Anolis sagrei: one gene and its partner. The protein of the gene in region 2 purifies or fractionates together with the protein of the main gene of each other region. This does not show direct contact. Links are inferred from orthologs where the notes say so. Each region holds a gene or a part of one and is shown on either strand. Other genes may lie near its edges.

The links.
Region 1: the proteins of FBXO22 (region 2) and KDM4B purify together in Homo sapiens (affinity purification with western blotting; 3 studies listed by BioGRID, with this or other methods). This does not show direct contact. The link is inferred for Anolis sagrei from reciprocal best matches to the Homo sapiens genes FBXO22 and KDM4B.

Annotation. Positions count from the first base shown.
Region 1 is NC_090034.1:55,636,877-55,645,791, forward strand, and holds the start of KDM4B (lysine-specific demethylase 4B), read right to left. Parts: upstream 3,806-8,915; 5' UTR 3,718-3,805; intron 1-3,717. UniProt on the Homo sapiens protein: Histone demethylase that specifically demethylates 'Lys-9' of histone H3, thereby playing a role in histone code. Does not demethylate histone H3 'Lys-4', H3 'Lys-27', H3 'Lys-36' nor H4 'Lys-20'.
Region 2 is NC_090029.1:11,580,232-11,589,667, forward strand, and holds the start of FBXO22 (F-box only protein 22), read right to left. Parts: upstream 3,689-9,436; 5' UTR 3,620-3,688; coding exon 3,501-3,619; intron 1-3,500. UniProt on the Homo sapiens protein: Substrate-recognition component of the SCF (SKP1-CUL1-F-box protein)-type E3 ubiquitin ligase complex that is implicated in the control of various cellular processes such as cell cycle control, transcriptional regulation, DNA damage repair, and apoptosis.

The DNA of each region.
Region 1 (8,915 bases), on a different chromosome or scaffold from region 2:
CATGAAACAAAGTTTGTTCATAGCCAAACCATCAAAAAGTAAAGGACTCAGCCACCCATACAGGCAAATTGGGGATATGGAGCTATTTGAAATCCTGGATAAGAGATGCTCAAACCTGCATTACTACTGTCAGTGTACGCTTTTTCGCCATCTTTGTACTGAATAGTTCTGAAAAGAGCTAACTACTTGGAAATATATTAACACTAAAAAAGCAATGTTTATGATAGCTATAAATGTCAACATGTTTACCATCAAGTCATTACTTGGTGATGAGGCTACAAAGACACTTCCTGTATTTTCCTTAGGACTGCTATAATGTTTTTATTAGGCAAGACACAAGCCTGTAAAGATATTACTCAAACACTTTAATTTCTAATACTGCTGTGTGTGATGCCCGTTTTAACGATCTGAAGAGAAACCAATACATAGACAATACAGTCACACCTGGACAGATAGGAAATACCACATTGACAGAAAGAAAAGAAAGGTGCAAAGCACACTCACTGTTATCAATATGCTTGTTTTTATTAGATGGAAGTGTCCCTAAGGGCCCTTAGCAGGGTTGAGAGTGTATACAAAGACCTATAACACACCTGAGCCTAAGGGCATCTTCCACCATCATCCAGTACTCAGAGCCTAGTTTTGACCCAATTCCAATCTGCTAAAACTGTAAACTTATTCTGATGTGAGACTTCAGATAACGGGCCTCATTATTATAGAGAAATTAAAGGCTCACTGGGAGAAATACCTACAGCTAGTGCTCAAAAAGAATTGACTAATTTGGAGCGCAACTACAGTATGCTGTAGAATAAATAAAGTTTGGCACTACAGGCAGTCACTATGTTTAGAACAAGAGAGGTCTGTAAGTTTGTTCTTAGATTGAATTTGTATGCAAGTCAGAACGGGTACATTTATAAGGTAACTCCATCCCTTTCTATCTATAGATCACATAGGGAAGGGTGAATAACCCTATAGTGTTTGTTTTGCTACCTGTGCCCCTGTTTGGAAGATTTCACCTCAGGAAAGAATGCTTCTGGAACATGACCATACAGCCCAAAAAAAAACTTACAGCAACCCAGTAATTCCAGCCATGAAAGTCTTCAGCAACACATTGATTTCACCTCACTTTTTGTCCCTGTGAGAACTGGATTTTGGACAATGTGGCTTGTTGTGGAAACAAGGATTGGCAATAAACTTCAGTGCAGAAAGAACCCTTTCCCCAGAAGTGGAGTTCCCTTCCTTCCGAGGGGTAGATTTCTCTCACTTCCTGTTGTTTCAGCCCCCATTCTTAACTATGAGTCATCTGTAAGACAGATGTTTGTAACTCAGGGACGGCCAGTACCCTACCTATGCTATGGAGCCGGGAGAAAGAGTTTTAAAAGGCCTTTTGCCTTCTGTGACCACAAACTCCAACTCCTTCCAGGAGGAGGATTAGATGATGATATTGTTACTACATATGTGATTGAAAACTTTTCTTTGTTTCCAGGCCCTGGATACACTGCTAGTCCAGTTAACATATTTGGCAATAATTAACTTACATGCCCTAATTAACCTTGTTGGCCCTGGTAAATTGTTTTGTTTTATGTTAGATATAATTTATTTGATAGGTTATGTTTAATTTCTTAGAATCATAAAGCTGGAAGAGACGTCATGGGCCATCCAGTCCAACCCCCTGCCAAGAAGCAGGAATACTGCATTCAAAGCACCCCTGACAGGTGGCCATCTAGCCTCTGTTTAAAAACCTCCAAAGAAGGAGCCTCCACCATACTCCGGGGCAGAGAGTTCCACTGCTGAACGGCTCTCACAGTCAGGAAGTTCTTCCTCATGTTCAGATGGAATCTCCTTTCTTTTAAATTTAGATGTTAAGTTATAATTATTTGTTATATGTTGGGTTATTTTTGCTATTATGTTTGTAATGGTTGTTGCATTTAGGCATTGAATGTTTGCCCTTTTGTGGTTGGAATCTGCCCTGAGTCCCTTTGGGGGGATAGGGCAGAATAAAAATAAAGTTATTATTATTGTTATTATTCCATGTTTATCCCCCAGAAGAGAAGACTGAGAGGAAACATGAGAGATGTGTTTAAATATCCCAAAGGATGTCCTAAAGGAGAGGGAACAGACCTTGTTTTTGCTGCCCTGGGAACTCACTGAAGTTATGGGTGGGAAAGGAGATCCCAACTGAACATTATGAGGAGGAACTTCTAGAGGTGTTCAACAGTGGAACTCATTGCCTCGGAGACTGGTGGAAGCTTCTCCTTTGAAGCTTTGAAACAGAGGTTGAATTGTCATCGGTCGGGAGGGTTTTGATTGTGTCCTTCTTTAGAAGGGAGTTGGACTGAGAGTTGGACTGGACAGCCCTCAAGGTCTCTTCCAGCTCTGTGATTCTATAGTCCTTTTTCTCCATAAACATTCTAATGTCTATGATACTAGACTGCCAGCTGTTGGGAGGGCTTTGATTGGGTTTTACAGGAGAAGGGGGTTGGACTGGGTGGCCCTTGGGATCCCTTCCAGCTCTAGGATTCTATAATCCTATAGCCCTATTTTTCCATGAACCTTTTAATGTCTATGAGCCTGGATGGTCATCTGTCAGGTGGGATCAAATTGTGTTTTTCCTGCATGACATAAGGGGATTGGGATAGATGGTCCTTTAGGATCCCTTCCAGCTCTAGAATTCTATGATTCTATAGCCCTATTTCCCCACGAACCTTCCAATACCTATGAGACTGGATGGCCATCTGTCGGGAGGGCTCCTGAACATCAGAATAGTTGGCTTGGAGTGTCTCAACCCTAGGATTCTACTATTCTGTGTTTCGATAGCCCTATTGCTCCAAGAACCTGCTGATTTCTATGAGGCTGGATGTCCATCTGTCAGGAAGACTTTGACTGTGTCCTGAATGCAAGATAATTGGTTTGGGGCCCCTTTCAACTCTAGGATTGTATGATTCTGTGATTCAATAGCCTTGTTTCTACATGAACTTAATGTCTATGAAGCTGAATGTCCATGTGTACGGTAGGATTGGATTGTGTTTTTCTGCATGGCAAAAGGGGGTTGGGTTGGATGGCATTTGCGATCCCTCTCAGCTCTAGGATTCTATGATCCTAGAGCCATATTGCTCAAAGAACCTACTGCTGTCTAGGAGGCTGAATGATCATCTGTCGGGAGGACTTTGATTGTATCCTGAATGGCAAAATAGAGTTGGTTTGAGGTCCCTTTCAACCTTAGGATTCTATGATTCTGTGACTCGATAGCCCTATTGCTTCAAGAACGTGCTTATGAGGGTCGATGGCCATCCCTCTGGAGGGTTTTGATTGTGTTCCTTTATGGAAGAAACGGCTCGACTCTCGGGTTCTGCCGCCCTAGTTCTCTCCCTGAACTTGATGGTGCCTATGAGGCTGGATGGCCATCTGCCGGGAGGGCTTTCCTGCCTGGCAAAAGGGGGTCGGACTGGATGGCCTTGGAGGATCCCTTCTAACTTTGTGATACAAAGGAATACAACACTATGCCAGTCCCAGGGCGACGCACTTGCCATTCAAAGGGGGCCCCTCCCCCTCAGCGGCCAATTTCCTCAGTAGGCCGCCATGACACTTAAAGCGGGACGGTAGCGCGACAACGGTGCCGTGTGGCACGACCCTAACCGCCCCCTTCGCCTCCCTGAGGTAAAATACGTAGCCTTCGCCTCGAGTTGTCCCCTCAAACCTGGCCCAGGAAGGCCTTACCAGTCCGCGGCCTCTTTCTCGTCGTCGTCGCTTCAACGAATCCCCTCAGAGAAAGCGAGAAAAGGCAAAAAGCCCGAAAGGGGAGGGGCGCCGCGCGTAGATCCCGCCCCCTCCGCCTCCCATTGGCCCGCCGCGCCCCGCCAGCCAATCCTCTCCCCTAGTATTAAGAGTGGCAGGGCTCTCCGCCAATCCAATGCCTTCTCCTCTTTTCCACCTCGGATTAAAGAGCGGTTGTTGTGTTTTTTTTTTCTTTTCCGGAATTGGTTGGCCTTCGCCCGCCCCCAGCCAATGGGAGCGCGGTTTAAGATTGAAACAACGGGAAGGCACGGTAGGACTTTTGCGATTGGGCCGCTGATAAAGGAGGTGGGCGGAACGAAGGGAGGGGGTCCAAGACCGCGCGTGCGCACACCGTTTCCCTTCGATGCCCAATTGCAGAGAATGGCTTGGAAAGTGTGTACGTGAGGATGTGCACAGCAGCAGAAAGAGGAGGGGGCTTTTCAAATGGAAGAGTAGGGAAGGCAACATGTGCCAAGTCTAAGTTGGTGGGGCAGCCCAATCGATTTCAAGGCCCTTCAGGACCTGTAAAGGCCCTTCAATAGATTTAAACACACACACATATATATTCTCAGTTTGTACCAAGGCTGTATGTTAGGTGAAATGGTCTTCTGAAGTCACTGGCCGTTTAGATTTCAATGTACAACGCTTTTATGAGTCTCTAAACCTCTCTCCTTATGCTGGTCTATGACCTTAATTAGCATTTGTTGGTGTGTGAAATCACTGGATTGGCTGTGGCTGGCTGAAGTGGCCCTTTTGTGAAGTCACTGGATTGGCTGTGGATGGGTGAAGTGGCCCTCTGTGAAATCACTGGATTGGCTGTGGTTAGACGACCTGGCCCTTTGTGAAGTCACTGGGTTGGCTGTGGATGGGTGAAGTGGCCCTCTTGTGAAGTCACTGGATTGGCTGTGGTTAGACGACCTGGCCCTTTGTGAAGTCACTGGGTTGGCTGTGGCTGGTTGAAGTGGCCCTCTTGTGAAGTCACTGGATTGGCTTTGGCTAGGTGAAGTGGTCCTCTGTGAAATCACAGGATTGGCTGTGGCTGGGTGAAGTGGCCCTCTTGTGAAGTCACTGGATTGGCTGTGGTTAGACGACCTGGCCCTTTGTGAAGTCACTGGGTTGGCTGTGGCTGGGTGAAGTGGCCCTCTTGTGAAGTCACTGGATTGGCTTTGGCTAGGTGAAGTGGTCCTCTGTGAAATCACAGGATTGGCTGTGGCTGGGTGAAGTGGCCCTCTTGTGAAGTCACTGGATTGGCTTTGGCTAGGTGAAGTGGTCCTCTGTGAAATCACAGGATTGGCTGTGGCTGGGTGAAGTGGCCCTCTTGTGAAGTCACTGGATTGGCTGTGGTTAGACGACCTGGCCCTTTGTGAAGTCACTGGGTTGGCTGTGGCTGGGTGAAGTGGCCCTCTTGTGAAGTCACTGGATTGGCTTTGGCTAGGTGAAGTGGTCCTCTGTGAAATCACAGGATTGGCTGTGGCTGGGTGAAGTGGCCCTCTTGTGAAGTCACTGGATTGGCTGTGGTTAGACGACCTGGCCCTTTGTGAAGTCACTGGGTTGGCTGTGGCTGGTTGAAGTGGCCCTCTTGTGAAGTCACTGGATTGGCTGTGGTTAGACGACCTGGCCCTTTGTGAAGTCACTGGGTTGGCTGTGGCTGGGTGAAGTGGCCCTCTTGTGAAGTCACTGGATTGGCTTTGGCTAGGTGAAGTGGTCCTCTGTGAAATCACAGGATTGGCTGTGGCTGGGTGAAGTGGCCCTCTTGTGAAGTCACTGGATTGGCTGTGGTTAGACGACCTGGCCCTTTGTGAAGTCACTGGGTTGGCTGTGGCTGGTTGAAGTGGCCCTCTTGTGAAGTCACTGGATTGGCTTTGGCTAGGTGAAGTGGTCCTCTGTGAAATCACAGGATTGGCTGTGGCTGGGTGAAGTGGCCCTTTTCTGAAGTCACTGGATTGGCTTTGGCTAGGTGAAGTGACCCTCTGTGAAATCACTGGATTGGCTGTGGATGGGTAAAGTGGCCCTTTTTTTAAATCACTGGATTGGCTTTGGCTAGGTGAAGTGACCCTCTGTGAAATCACTGGATTGGCTGTGGCTGGGTGAAGTGGCCCTCTTGTGAAGTCACTGGATTGGCTGTGGTTAGACGACCTGGCCCTTTGTGAAGTCACTGGGTTGGCTGTGGCTGGGTGAAGTGGCCCTCTTGTGAAGTCACTGGATTGGCTGTGGTTAGACGACCTGGCCCTTTGTGAAGTCACTGGGTTGGCTGTGGCTGGTTGAAGTGGCCCTCTTGTGAAGTCACTGGATTGGCTTTGGCTAGGTGAAGTGGTCCTCTGTGAAATCACAGGATTGGCTGTGGCTGGGTGAAGTGGCCCTTTTCTGAAGTCACTGGATTGGCTTTGGCTAGGTGAAGTGACCCTCTGTGAAATCACTGGATTGGCTATGGATGGGTAAAGTGGCCCTTTTTTTAAATCACTGGATTGGCTTTGGCTAGGTGAAGTGACCCTCTGTGAAATCACTGGATTGGCTGTGGCTGGGTGAAGTGGCCCTCTTGTGAAGTCACTGGATTGGCTGTGGTTTGATGACCTGGCCCTTTGTGAAGCCACTGGGTTGGCTGTGGCTGGGTGAAGTGGCCCTTTGTGAAGCCACTGGGTTGGCTGTGGCTGGGTGAAGTGGCCCTCTTGTGAAGTCACTGGATTGGCTTTGGCTAGGTGAAGTGGTCCTCTGTGAAATCACTGGATTGGCTGTGGCTGGGTGAAGTGGCCCTTTTCTGAAGTCACTGGATTGGCTTTGGCTAGGTGAAGTGACCCTCTGTGAAATCACTGGATTGGCTGTGGCTGGGTGAAGTGGCCCTCTTGTGAAGTCACTGGATTGACTGTGGTTAGACGACCTGGCCCTTTTTGAAGTCACTGGGTTGGCTGTGGCTGGTTGAAGTGGCCCTCTGTGAAGTCACTGGATTGGCTTTGGCTAGGTGAAGTGGCCCTCTGTGAAATCATTGGATGGGCTGTGGATGGGTGAAATGGTCCTCTTGTGAAATCACTGAATTGGCTGTCACTGGGTGAAGTGGCCCTTTTGTGAAGTCACTGGATTGGCAGTGGCTGGCTGGAGTGGCCCTCTTGTGAAGTCGTTGGATTGGTTGTGGTTAAACGGTTCTGGCCCCGCTTACCTCTCCGAACGCATCTCCACCTATGAACCGACTAGAACATTAAGATCGTCTGGGGAGGCCCTGCTCTCGATCCCGCCTGCGTCACAGGCGCGCTTGGCGGGGACGAGAGACAGGGCCTTCTCAGTGGTGGTCCCTCGGCTATGGAATGCCTTGCCGGCAGACATCAGACAGGCACCTTCGTTGCTGACGTTTCGGAGAATGGTCAAGACCTGGCTTTATGAACAAGCGTTTGGCTAAGCAATGCAACCAATCAAGGAAGACGGTAAATGGAACATAGGAACGGCACAAGGACTATGAGAACAGATCTGATTTCAACTGAGGCGTTATATATTTTGTTTGTTGATTTGTCTTGTCTGATTGTTAATTGTTGTGGATCGATGTTGTTGATCCTGTTGTTGCATTGTTATGTTTTAATTGCACTGTAAACCGCATTGAGTCGCCTGTTAAGGGCTGAAAAATGCGGTATAGAAATGAAGCAAATAAATAAATAAATAAATAAATAAAATAGACGACCTGGCCCTTTGTGAAGTCACTGGGTTGGCTTTGGCTAGGTGAAGTGGCCCTCTGAAATCACTGGATTGGCTGTGGATGGGTGAAGTGGCCCTCTGTGAAGTCACTGGATTGGCTGCAGCTGAGTGAATCAACCCTCTGAAGTCACTGGCCTTTTATATTTCAATGTACGATTGTGAAGTCACTGGATTGGCTGTGGTTAGGTGAAGTGGCCCTCTGGTGAAGTCACTGTCAAATCAAGGTGCCCTGTGTATGAAGGGAGGATGAAAGGAAGGGAGAAAGGAAAAGAGCCACAAAAGAGGGCCATGTTGCCCTGGAGACATTGTGCCAGAGCTGGAAAAGGGGGAAAGGGAAGAGAAAAAGAAGGGAAAGAATGGGAAAAGAAAGAAAAAGGAGGAAGGGAGGGGGCGGAATGGAAAAGGGAAAAGGTATAATGTTATGTTTTACTACCACACATTGTATTGATTGAGGTTATTGTTGTATATTTTATGTTGTTCTTGTTTGCATTGTTGTTGTCTTGGGGAGATGGGGCAGGATATAAGTAAAGTTGTTGTTGTTGTTATAAGGGAAGGAAAGAAGGGAAGGGAAATCAAGGGAGAAGGGAGAAGGTGGGTGAGAAAAAAGGAGGGAAGGAAAGGGAAAGATAGAAGAGGGAGGAAGGTGTATGAAAGAAAGCAGGGGAAGGAGGCAGTTCAGGTCCTGAACCGGTGCTTGACGGCTGTGACGGTCTGGATGAGGGCAAACAAATTGAAACTGAATCCAGATAAGGCAGAGTTACTCCTGGTCAGTTGTAAGGCCAAACAGGGGATAGGGTTACAGCCTGTGCTGGACAGGGTTACACTCCCCCTGAAGTCACAGGTTCGCAGCTTGGGAGTTCTGGAGTCAGCTGAGCCTGGAACCCCAGATTTTGGCAGTGGCAGGGGAGTTTTTGCACAATTAAAACTTGTGCGCCAGCTGAACCCATACGTTGAGAAGCCTGACTTGGCCACGGCAGTCCATGCTCTTGTTACATCTCAAATAGACTACTGCAATGTGTTCTACATGAGACTGCCTTTGAAGACTGTTCAGAAGCTTCAAGTAGTCCAACAAGCAGCAGGCAGATTGCTCACCAGAGCAGCATAAAGGGAGCACAGAACCCCCCTGTTGCATCAGCTCTGCTGGCTGCCAGTCTGCTACTGAGAATAATTCAAAGTGCTGGCTTGAGCCCTCGACGATTCTGGTCCAGCTTACCTATATGAACTCATCTCCCTTTATGAGCCAGCTAAAGCAGCTGCGATTGGCAGGGACAAGAGACAGGACCTTCTCGGTGGTGGCTCCTAGGCTGCGGAAATCCCTAGTGAAACTAGATCGGCCCCCTCCCTCCAGGCATTTAGGAAACAACTTAAGATCTCATGATTCAAGAAGGCATTCAGTGAATGACAGGAACATGGAAACATGGAAGTTAAAGATTACCTCACAACTGATGCAAGGCCTACATGTT
Region 2 (9,436 bases):
TGACTGAGAAAGGCAGTATACAAATACAGTAAATAATTATTATTATTTTTGTCGTGTCAGGAGCAACTTCAGAAACTGCAACTCGCTTCTGGTGTGAGAGAATTGGCTGTCTGCAAGGACATTGCCCAGGGGACGCCCGGATGTTTTTGCCATCCTTGTGGGAAGCCTCTCTCATGTCCCCGCATGAGGAGCTGGAGCTGATAGAGGGAGCTCATCCGCCTCTCCCCGGATTCGAACCTGCGACCTGTCGGTCTTCAGTCCTTCTGGCACAGGGGTTTAACCCACTGCGCCACCGGGGTCTCCTAGTAAATAAATAATAAATAAATATAAATGCCATAAATAAATCTATATAAATAAAAATGTAATGTTCGTTTGTGGGATTAACAGAACTCCAAAACCACTGGACAAATTGACACCAAATTTGGACACAAGACACCTATCAGGCCAATGTATGTCCTTAACTCATAAAAACACTAAAAAACATAGCAGAAGGGACTTAAAAAGCTCCAAAAAGCTAAATGACGAAAAGCTAAATGACAATACAGAAAAAAGGGAAGAAAGTGGGAAGGAAGTAGAGAAAAAAAAAAGAAAGAAAGAAAGAAAAGAAAGAGGGAGGGGAAAAAAGAAGGAAAGGGAGAAGGAAGCATGGAAGCAAAGAGAGAAGGAAGGAAGGAAAGAAGGAAGGAAGAAAAGAGAGACGTAGCGAACCTGGATTTCAGGAAGGCCTTCGACAAGGTCCCCCATGACCTTCTGGCAAACAAACTAGTCCAATGTGGGCTAGGCAAAACTACGGTGAGGTGGATCAGTAATTGGTTAAATGGACGAACCCAGAGGGTGATTCTCCCCAATGCTTCCTCTTCATTCTGGAAAGAAGTGCCATCAGCAGGGTTCCGTCCTGGGCCCGGTCCTGCTCAGGATCTTGATTAATGACTTAGATGAAGGGCTAGAAGGCAGGATCAAGTTTGCAGACGACACCAAATTGGGAGGGAGAGCCAATACTCCAGAGGACAGGAGCAGGATTCAAAACGATCTTGACAGATTAGAGAGATGATTGGCCAAAACTAACAAAATGAAGTTCAACAGGGACAAATGCAAGATACTACACTTTGGCAGAAAAAACAAAATGCGAAGATACAGATTGGGGGACAACGCCTGGCTCGAAAGCAGTACGTGTGAAAAAGATCTTGGAGTCCTCGTGGACAACAAGTTAAACATGAGCCAACAATGTGATGCGACGGCAAAAGAAGGCCAATGGGATTTTGGCCTGCATCAATAGGAGCCTAGTGTCTAGATCCAGGGAAGTCATGCTACCCCTCTATTACGCTTTGGTTAGACCACACCTGGAATATTGTGTCCAATTCTGGGCACCACAATTGAAGAGAGATATTAACAAGCTGGAATGTGTCCAGAGGAGGGCGACTAAAATGATTAAGAGTCTGGAGAACAAGCCCTAAGAGGAGTGGCTTAAAGAGCTGGGCATGTTTAGCCAGAAGAAGAGAAGGCTGAGAGGGGATATGATAGCCATGTATAAATATGTGAGAGGAAGCCACAGGGAGGAGGGAGCAAGCTTGTTTTCTGCTTCCCTGGAGACTAGGACGCGGAACAATGGCTTCAAACTACAGGAGAGGAGATTCCATCTGAACATGAGGAAGAACTTCCTGACTGTGAGAGCCATTCAGCAGTGGAACTCTCTGGTGTGGTGGAGGCTCCTTCTTTGGAAGCTTTTAAACAGAGGCTGGATGGCCATCTGTCAGGGGTGATTTGAATGCAATATTCCTGCTTCTTGGCAGAATGGGGTTGGATTGGATGGCCCATGAGGTCTCTTCCAACTCTTGGATTCTATGACAGCAGAAGAGAAAGAAAAGGGGGGAAGGAAGAAAAGAGATTGAGAAGGGAGAGAAGGAAAGGAAAAAAGGGAAAGAATGAAGGAAAGAGGGAGCGAAGGATGGGGGAAGATGTAGAGAAAGAGGGAGGGAAGGAAAGAAGGTGTTGTATTTATGTTGTGTTGTTGAGGCCTTGGCCTTTGTAAGCCGCATCGAGTCCTTCGGGAGATGCTAGCGGGGTACAAATAAAGTTAATAATAATAATAATAATAAGAGAAGGAAGAAAAGAGAGACAGCAAAAGAGAAAGAAATGGGGGGAAGGAAGGAAAGAAGGAAGGAGGGAAAGAAGGAGAGAAAGAGGGAAGGTTGGCCACAGCAACACGTGGCAGGTACAGCTAGCAAATAAATAAATAAATAAATAAATAATAGAGGGAGCAATGATGGGAGGAGGGGACCCATTTTGTAATGTCTGGGGAAGCAAAATAAGTCATGTGTCAGGGGCCCTCGAAGACTGCCCTGTTGTTGTTCATTCGTTCAGTCGTCTCTGACTCTTCGTGACCTCATGGACCAGTCCACACCAGAGCTCCCTGTCGGCCGTCACCACCCCCAGCTCCTTCAAGGTCAGTCCCATCACTTCAAGGATGCCATCCATCCATCTTGCCCTTGGTCGGCCCCTCTTCCTTTTGCCTTCCACTTTCCCCAGCATCATTGTCTTCTCTAGGCTTTGCTGTCTCCTCATGATGTGGCCAAAGTACTTCAACTTTGTCTCTATTCTCCTTCCCTCCAGTGAGCAGTCGGGCTTTATTTCCTGGAGGATGGACTGGTTGGATCTTCTCGCAGTCCAAGGCACTCTCAGCACTTTCCTCCAACACCACAGCTCAAAAGCACTGATCTTCCTTCGCTCAGCCTTCCCTAAGGTCCAGCTCTCACATCCGTAGGTGACTACAGGAAATACCATGGCTTTGACTAGGCGGATCTTTGTTGCCAGTGTGATGTCTCTACTCTTTACTATTTTATCGAGATTGGACATTGCTCTCCTCCCAAGAAGGAAGCGTCTTCTGATTTCCTGGCCACAGTCTGCATCTGCAGTCATCTTTGCACCTAGAAATACAATGTCTGTCACGGCCTCCACATTTTCTCCCTCTATTTCCCAGTTGTCAATCATTCTTGTTGCCATAATCTTGGTTTTTTTTTTACGTTTAGCTGCAACCCGGCTTTTGCGCTTTCTTCTTTCACCTTGATTAGAAGGCTCCTCAGCTCCTCCTCGCTTTCGGCCATCAGAGTGGTGTTATGTGGCGGGTACAGCTAGTAAATAAATAAGTAATAATAGAGGGAGCAATGATGGGAGGAGGGGGCCCATTTTGTAATGTCTGGCGAAGCAAAAGAAGTCTTGTGTCAGAGGCCCTCCAAGACTGCCATATAACCCAGAATATCAAGGACGAAAATACCACAATCTCTGCTTTGAACTGGGTTATCCACACTGCCATATATCCCAGTTCAAAGCAAATAATGTGAGATTTTATTCAGCTGAGTGGATGGAGCCGCTTGTTTGATCTCCTCCCCTGCCTCAAAGCGCCTCGAGGCTTCAGAGTCAGGAGTAGGCCTCAAGCCTCGGCCTCGCTTGCTGTCGCGCGCCCAGGGAAAGCGGCGGCGGCGGAGGAAGCCCTGGCCACTCACCAGGCCGCCCTCAGCAGCGCCTTGGCGGGCAGGAAGCCCAGGACGCGCTCCACCACCTCCGCCAAGCTGCTCAGCACGAGCACGCCGCCGCCTCCTTCTCCTCTCGCGCAGGCCTCCATCGCCCACCAAATCCACAGGCCTTCCCCGTTGCCCCGGCAACCTCTCCCGGAAGCGGAAGGCCGCGCCTGCGCAATACGTCCCTCCTCCTCGTGATGGACACCGGCGGGGGCGTGGCTTGGAGCTCACGAGGCGGGATTGGTTCCTTCCCAAACCCTGCCTCTTGGACTTCATTTCCCAGCAGCCCTTGCGGGGCTTGGCTTTTGTTGAGGTTGAGTCCCCGAAGGGAGAGAGGAGGGCGGAGTACAAACAAAGCAAAACAGCAGAGAGGAAACAACCAGGCACATCTTAACACCTCTCAACAGAACATTTTCCCAGGCTCAGCCAGGCCTTCAAATGCTAATGAAGGTGGTCAGTTGAAACATTCACACCTAGCTTCAGCAGGGAAGAGCTCCTTGCCCCACCCCAGCCATTCCACAGATATATAAACCCATTGTTCTAATTCCCACAGACCTCACTACCTCTGAGGAAGCTTGCCATAGATGCAGGCGAAACGTCAGGAGAAATGCCTCTAGAACATGGTCCTGTAGCCCGAAAAAACCCACAAGAACCTAAAGCTTTATTATTTTAATACATTATTATTATTCTAATAATAATGTGCTATTCTAATATATATTTTATATACATATAATATATATATATTAGAATAGCACATTATTATTAGAATATACATATACATATAATAGGAGGCCCCGGTGGTGCAGTGGGTTAAAGCACTGAGCTGCTGAGCTTGTTGATCAAAACGTCGCAGGATCGATTCCGGGGAGCGGCGTGAGCTTCCGCTGTCAGCCCTAGCTTCTGCCAACCTAGCAGTTCGAAAACATGCAAATGTGAGTATTTATTTATTATTTATTTATTTACTGTACTTGTATACTGTCGTTTCTCAGCCTAGCTGGCGACTCAACGCGGTTTACAAGATACACAATCCACAGTATACAATTTAAAAACCATAAAAAACATAATACACAATGTTGACACATAAATCACTATTCAATGCATCTCTTAACTAAAATCGTGGTCCAGTTTCGTCATCCATATTACCAATCTTTAATCATCCCATTCATTGCACCGAGTTAACCAAATGCCTGCTCGAACAGTAGATCAATAGGTACCGCTCCGGTGGGAAGGTAACGGCGCTCCATGCAGTCATGCCGGCCACATGACCTTGGAGGTGTCTACGGACAACGCTGGCTCTTCGGCTTAGAAATGGAGATGAGCACCACACCCCAGAGTCAGACATGACTGGACTTAATGTCAGGGGACTACCTTTACCTTTACTAATATAATATAGAATATTATATTATTATTATTATTATATTATATTGTATATACACATAATATTTATATTATAATGGTATGCAATATAATATTAAGATAAAATAAGGTATTATTTTAATACATTATTATTATTCTAATAATAGTGTGCTATTCTAATAATATAATGTAATATATTATATTCTATATTGTATATTCTATACGTAATATTTATAATATTATAATGTAATGCAATATAATAATAAGATAAAATAATAATAAGGTTTTAATACATTATTATTATTCTAATTTTTTTTTTGCTGTTTCAGGAGTGACTTGAGAAACTGCAAGTTGTTTCTGGTGTGAGAGAATTGGTCGTCTGCAAGGACATTGCCCAGGGTGTTTTGATCTTTTACCATCCTTGTGGGAGGCTTCTCTCATGTCCCCGCATGAGGAGCTGGAGCTGATAGAGGGAGCTCATCCATGCTCTCCCCGGATTCGAACCGGCAACCTGTGGGTCTTCAGTCCTACCAGCACAGGGCTTTAACCCTCTGCGCCACAAGAGGCTCCTATAATAATAATAATAATAATAATAATAATAATAATAATAATAATAATAATAATGTGCTATTCTAATAATATATTCTATATTGTATATACATATAATATTTATAATATTATAATGTAATGCAATATAATCTATATAAATAAAAATGTAATGTTCGTTTGTGGGATTAACAGAACTAAAAAACCACTGGACGAATTGACACCAAATTTGGATACAAGACACCTAACAACCCAATGTATGTCCTTCACTCAAAAAAATTGATTTTGTCATTTGGGAGTGGTAGTTGCTGGGATTTATAGTTCATCTACAATCAAAGAGCATTCTGAACCCCACCAACGACGGAATTGAACCAAACTTAGCACACAGTCCTCCCCCAAAAGAAAATACTGGAAGGGTTTGGTGGGCAGTGTCCTTTGGTTTTGGAGTTGTAGTTCACCTACATCCAGAGATCACTCTGGACTCAAATAATGATGGATCTGGACCAAACTCTACACGAATACTCAATATGCCCAAATGTGAACACTGGTAGAGTTTGGGGAAAATAGAATCTTGACATTTGGGAGTTGTAGTTGCTGGGATTTATAGTTCACCTACAATCACAGAGCATTCTGAACCCCACCAATGATAGAATTGGGCCAAACCTCCCACACAGAATCCCCATGTGGGCCACAGCAACACATGGCAGAGGACGGCTAGTACTACTAATAATATATTATAATTATATATTTTATATTGCATGTAATATTACTAGGCAAAACATCAGGAGAGAATGTTTCTTGAACATGCCCAGATGGCCCAGAAAACTCACAGCAACCCAGTGATTTCATCCATGAAAGCCTTTGATAATACAATAATTCACAATAATGTACATTGGATGTTTTTGGTTCCACTCTCTGTGGTCATTAATCAGGATTGGACTTCAGCTTTTCACAGTTGACAGGCCTAACTCTGAGCATGCTTTCCCTCATCTCCAAAATATCAGCCACGTTAATATTTTTTAAAAATACCATACCAAGCAATCAAAAGCAGACACTCTCCAGAGAAAAACAGAATTCTTAATTCTTTATTCATAAACTTGATGCAAGTTTACAGATTGACCGTACACTGCTAAATAATTCTGCAATGAAAATGAAACTCGATAGAAGGAAGGAAGGAAGGGAAAAAAGAAAAACGCAAGCCGAGTGTGCACCCGTGGTTCTGCGTAGTCATTAGGAGATGGAAGGATCCCGTAAAGCACTCCAGGAGTTTTCTCGCCTCAGCTGTAGAAACGCAAGACTTGGCTTCTGACTTAAGGCTGCTCGAGAAGGGGTTTAGGGAGGAATCGTATGTACAACCAAATACGTGAGAAATTGGGGGGGGGGGGGGGGAGAAATGTCATCTCTATCTCACCTCTAAAAGACTGCACATTTTTAGGCCAAATATTCTCATTTTCTGGATTTTTTTTTTTAAATAATAATAATAGAACAGGACATGAGACCGAATGGTCCGAAGCCAAAAAGAAAAAGAAAACACCTTTATTTACTTATGTAAAGGGGCCAGAGCGAGCCAAGAAAAATCTGGACTTCTACAAAACACAAATGTGTACACCAGGCAAGGGCACATTTGGCCCCTCTGGGTGTTTTAGACTCCAACTCCCACCATTCCTGGCAGCCTCAGGCCCCTTCTTTTCCCGTCAGCTGCTTAAGCACTGAGCTATTGACTGCAGTCACAAGATTTAGAAAACGTCCTGCATACAAAACTGCCATTCAAGCAAATATCCAGGCTGACCTAACATTGGTTATGGGCCCAACACTCAGCTTAAGCAACTGAGAGGGGAAAAGGAAAGGGCCTGAGGCTGTTAGGAATGGTGGAAGTTGAAGGCCAAAACATCTGGAGGGTCCAAATTTGCCCATGCCTGATCTACACACTGACTTAACCATGGTTATGGGCCCAGCACTCAGGTTAAGTGGTTGTGGGGGGAAAGGAAAGGGCCTGAGGCTGTTAGGAATGGTGGAAGTTGGAGTCCAAAACATCTGGAGGGCCCAACTTTGCCCATGCCTGGTCTACATACTGACCTAACATTGGTTATGGGCCCAGAACTCAGCTTAAGAGACTGGAAGTCCCAAGTTTGCCCATTCCTGGTCTACACACTGATTTAACCATGGTTATGGGCCCAGCACTCAGCTGAAGAGACTGGAAGTCCCAAGTTTGCCCATTCCTGGTCTACACACTGACCTAACATTGGTTATGGGCCTAGCACTTTGCCCAACTTTGCCCATGCCTGGTCTACACACTGACTTAACATTGGTTATGGGCCCAGAACTCAGCTTAAGAGACTGGAAGTCCCAAGTTTTCCCATTCCTGGTCTACACACTGATTTAACCATGGTTATGGGCCCAGCACTCAGCTTAAGAGACTGGAAGCCCCAAGTTTGCCCATTCCTGGTCTACACACTGACTTAACCATGGTTATGGGCCCAGCACTCAGCTTAAGCGGCTGTGGGGGGGAAAGGAAAGGGCCTGAGGCTGTTAGGAATGGTGGGAGTTGAAGGTCAAAACATCTGGAGGGAGGGCAAGTTTGCCCATGCCTGGTCTACACACTGACTTAACCATGGTTATGGGCCCAGCACTCAGGTTAAGTGGTTGTGGGGGAAAAGGAAGGGGCCTGAGGCTGTTAGGAATGGTGGGAGTTGAAGGCCAAAACATCTGGAGGGCCCAACGTTGCCCATGCCTGGTCTACACACTGATTTAACCATGGTTATGGGCCCAGCACTCAGCTTAAGAGACTGGAAGCCCCAAGTTTGCCCATTCCTGGTCTACACACTGACTTAACCATGGTTATGGGCCCAGCACTCAGCTTAAGTGGTTGTGGGGGAAAAGGGGCTGAGGCTGTTAAAAATGGTGGAAGTTGGAGTCCAAAACATCTGGAGGGAGGGCCCAACTTTGCTCATGCCTGGTCTACACACTGACCTAACATTGGTTATGGGCCCAGCACTCAGCTTAAGCGGCTGACGTGGAAAAGGAAAGGGCCTGAGGCTGTTAGGAATGATGGAATTTGAAGTCCAAAGCAACTGAAGGGCCCAACTTTGCCCATGCCTGGTCTACACACTGACCTAACATTGGTTATGGGCCCAGCACTCAGCTTAAGCAGCTGAGGGGGGAAAGGAAGGGGCCTGAGGCTGTGAGGAATGGTGAAACTTGAAGTCCAAAACATCTGGAAGGTCCACGTTTAAACATGCCTGCTGTGGACTCTTCTTTTGATCCTCGTGGACACAAAAGCTCTACACAAATCCAACCACCAAAATGTAAAACCACACCTGATTCTGTTTTTTTGGAAAGGTAAGGCAATGACATGACAGTGACCGACCCACAGCAGTGACAGAACCAGACTCCTAAAGAAAAAGAACGATACCCCCTCAAATTTATTTCCCCTCAACTAAAACCATGGTCATGACGATGGCAACGTTTCCGTTCCAAACAATGCTGAATTGAGAGAGTTACCTGGTAAGACTTCTGATGGTTGCATTTCTCTCAAACTGTGCAACCTCCCCTTTAAGAAAGGGCTTCTGTGTTGATTCTGGGTGAGGCCTGGGTGACTTCTTCCGCCAATGGCTCTTTCCAGTCCTTTTAGTCCACAAGTGATTGCAACAACCCGTCAACAGATTCGAATGCCAAGTATTTTAAATATCTTCAAGCCTTGAGAAGGAGGGCTTCTTCGAGCAAAGGAGCGAGTGGAGGAGAACGGCAAGCGCCGATATCCGAGCGAATCATATCCCACACAGTTCAACGGGCGCTGTCTGGCGTCCAGCGGCAAGGTGACCAAAACGGGCTTCTGTCCAGCAAGAGTTCATATCCTGAACACAGCCATGGAGGGGGGGAAAAGAGTTTAATGATTCGACATTACACTTCTCCTATAGATCGTCGTTACATTTGGCAACGTTTACAAACGCTTTCGATTTTCAGCCAGGAAAATAAGAATAACACACCCACTGAACAAGACCTGGAGGAAAAAAAACCCA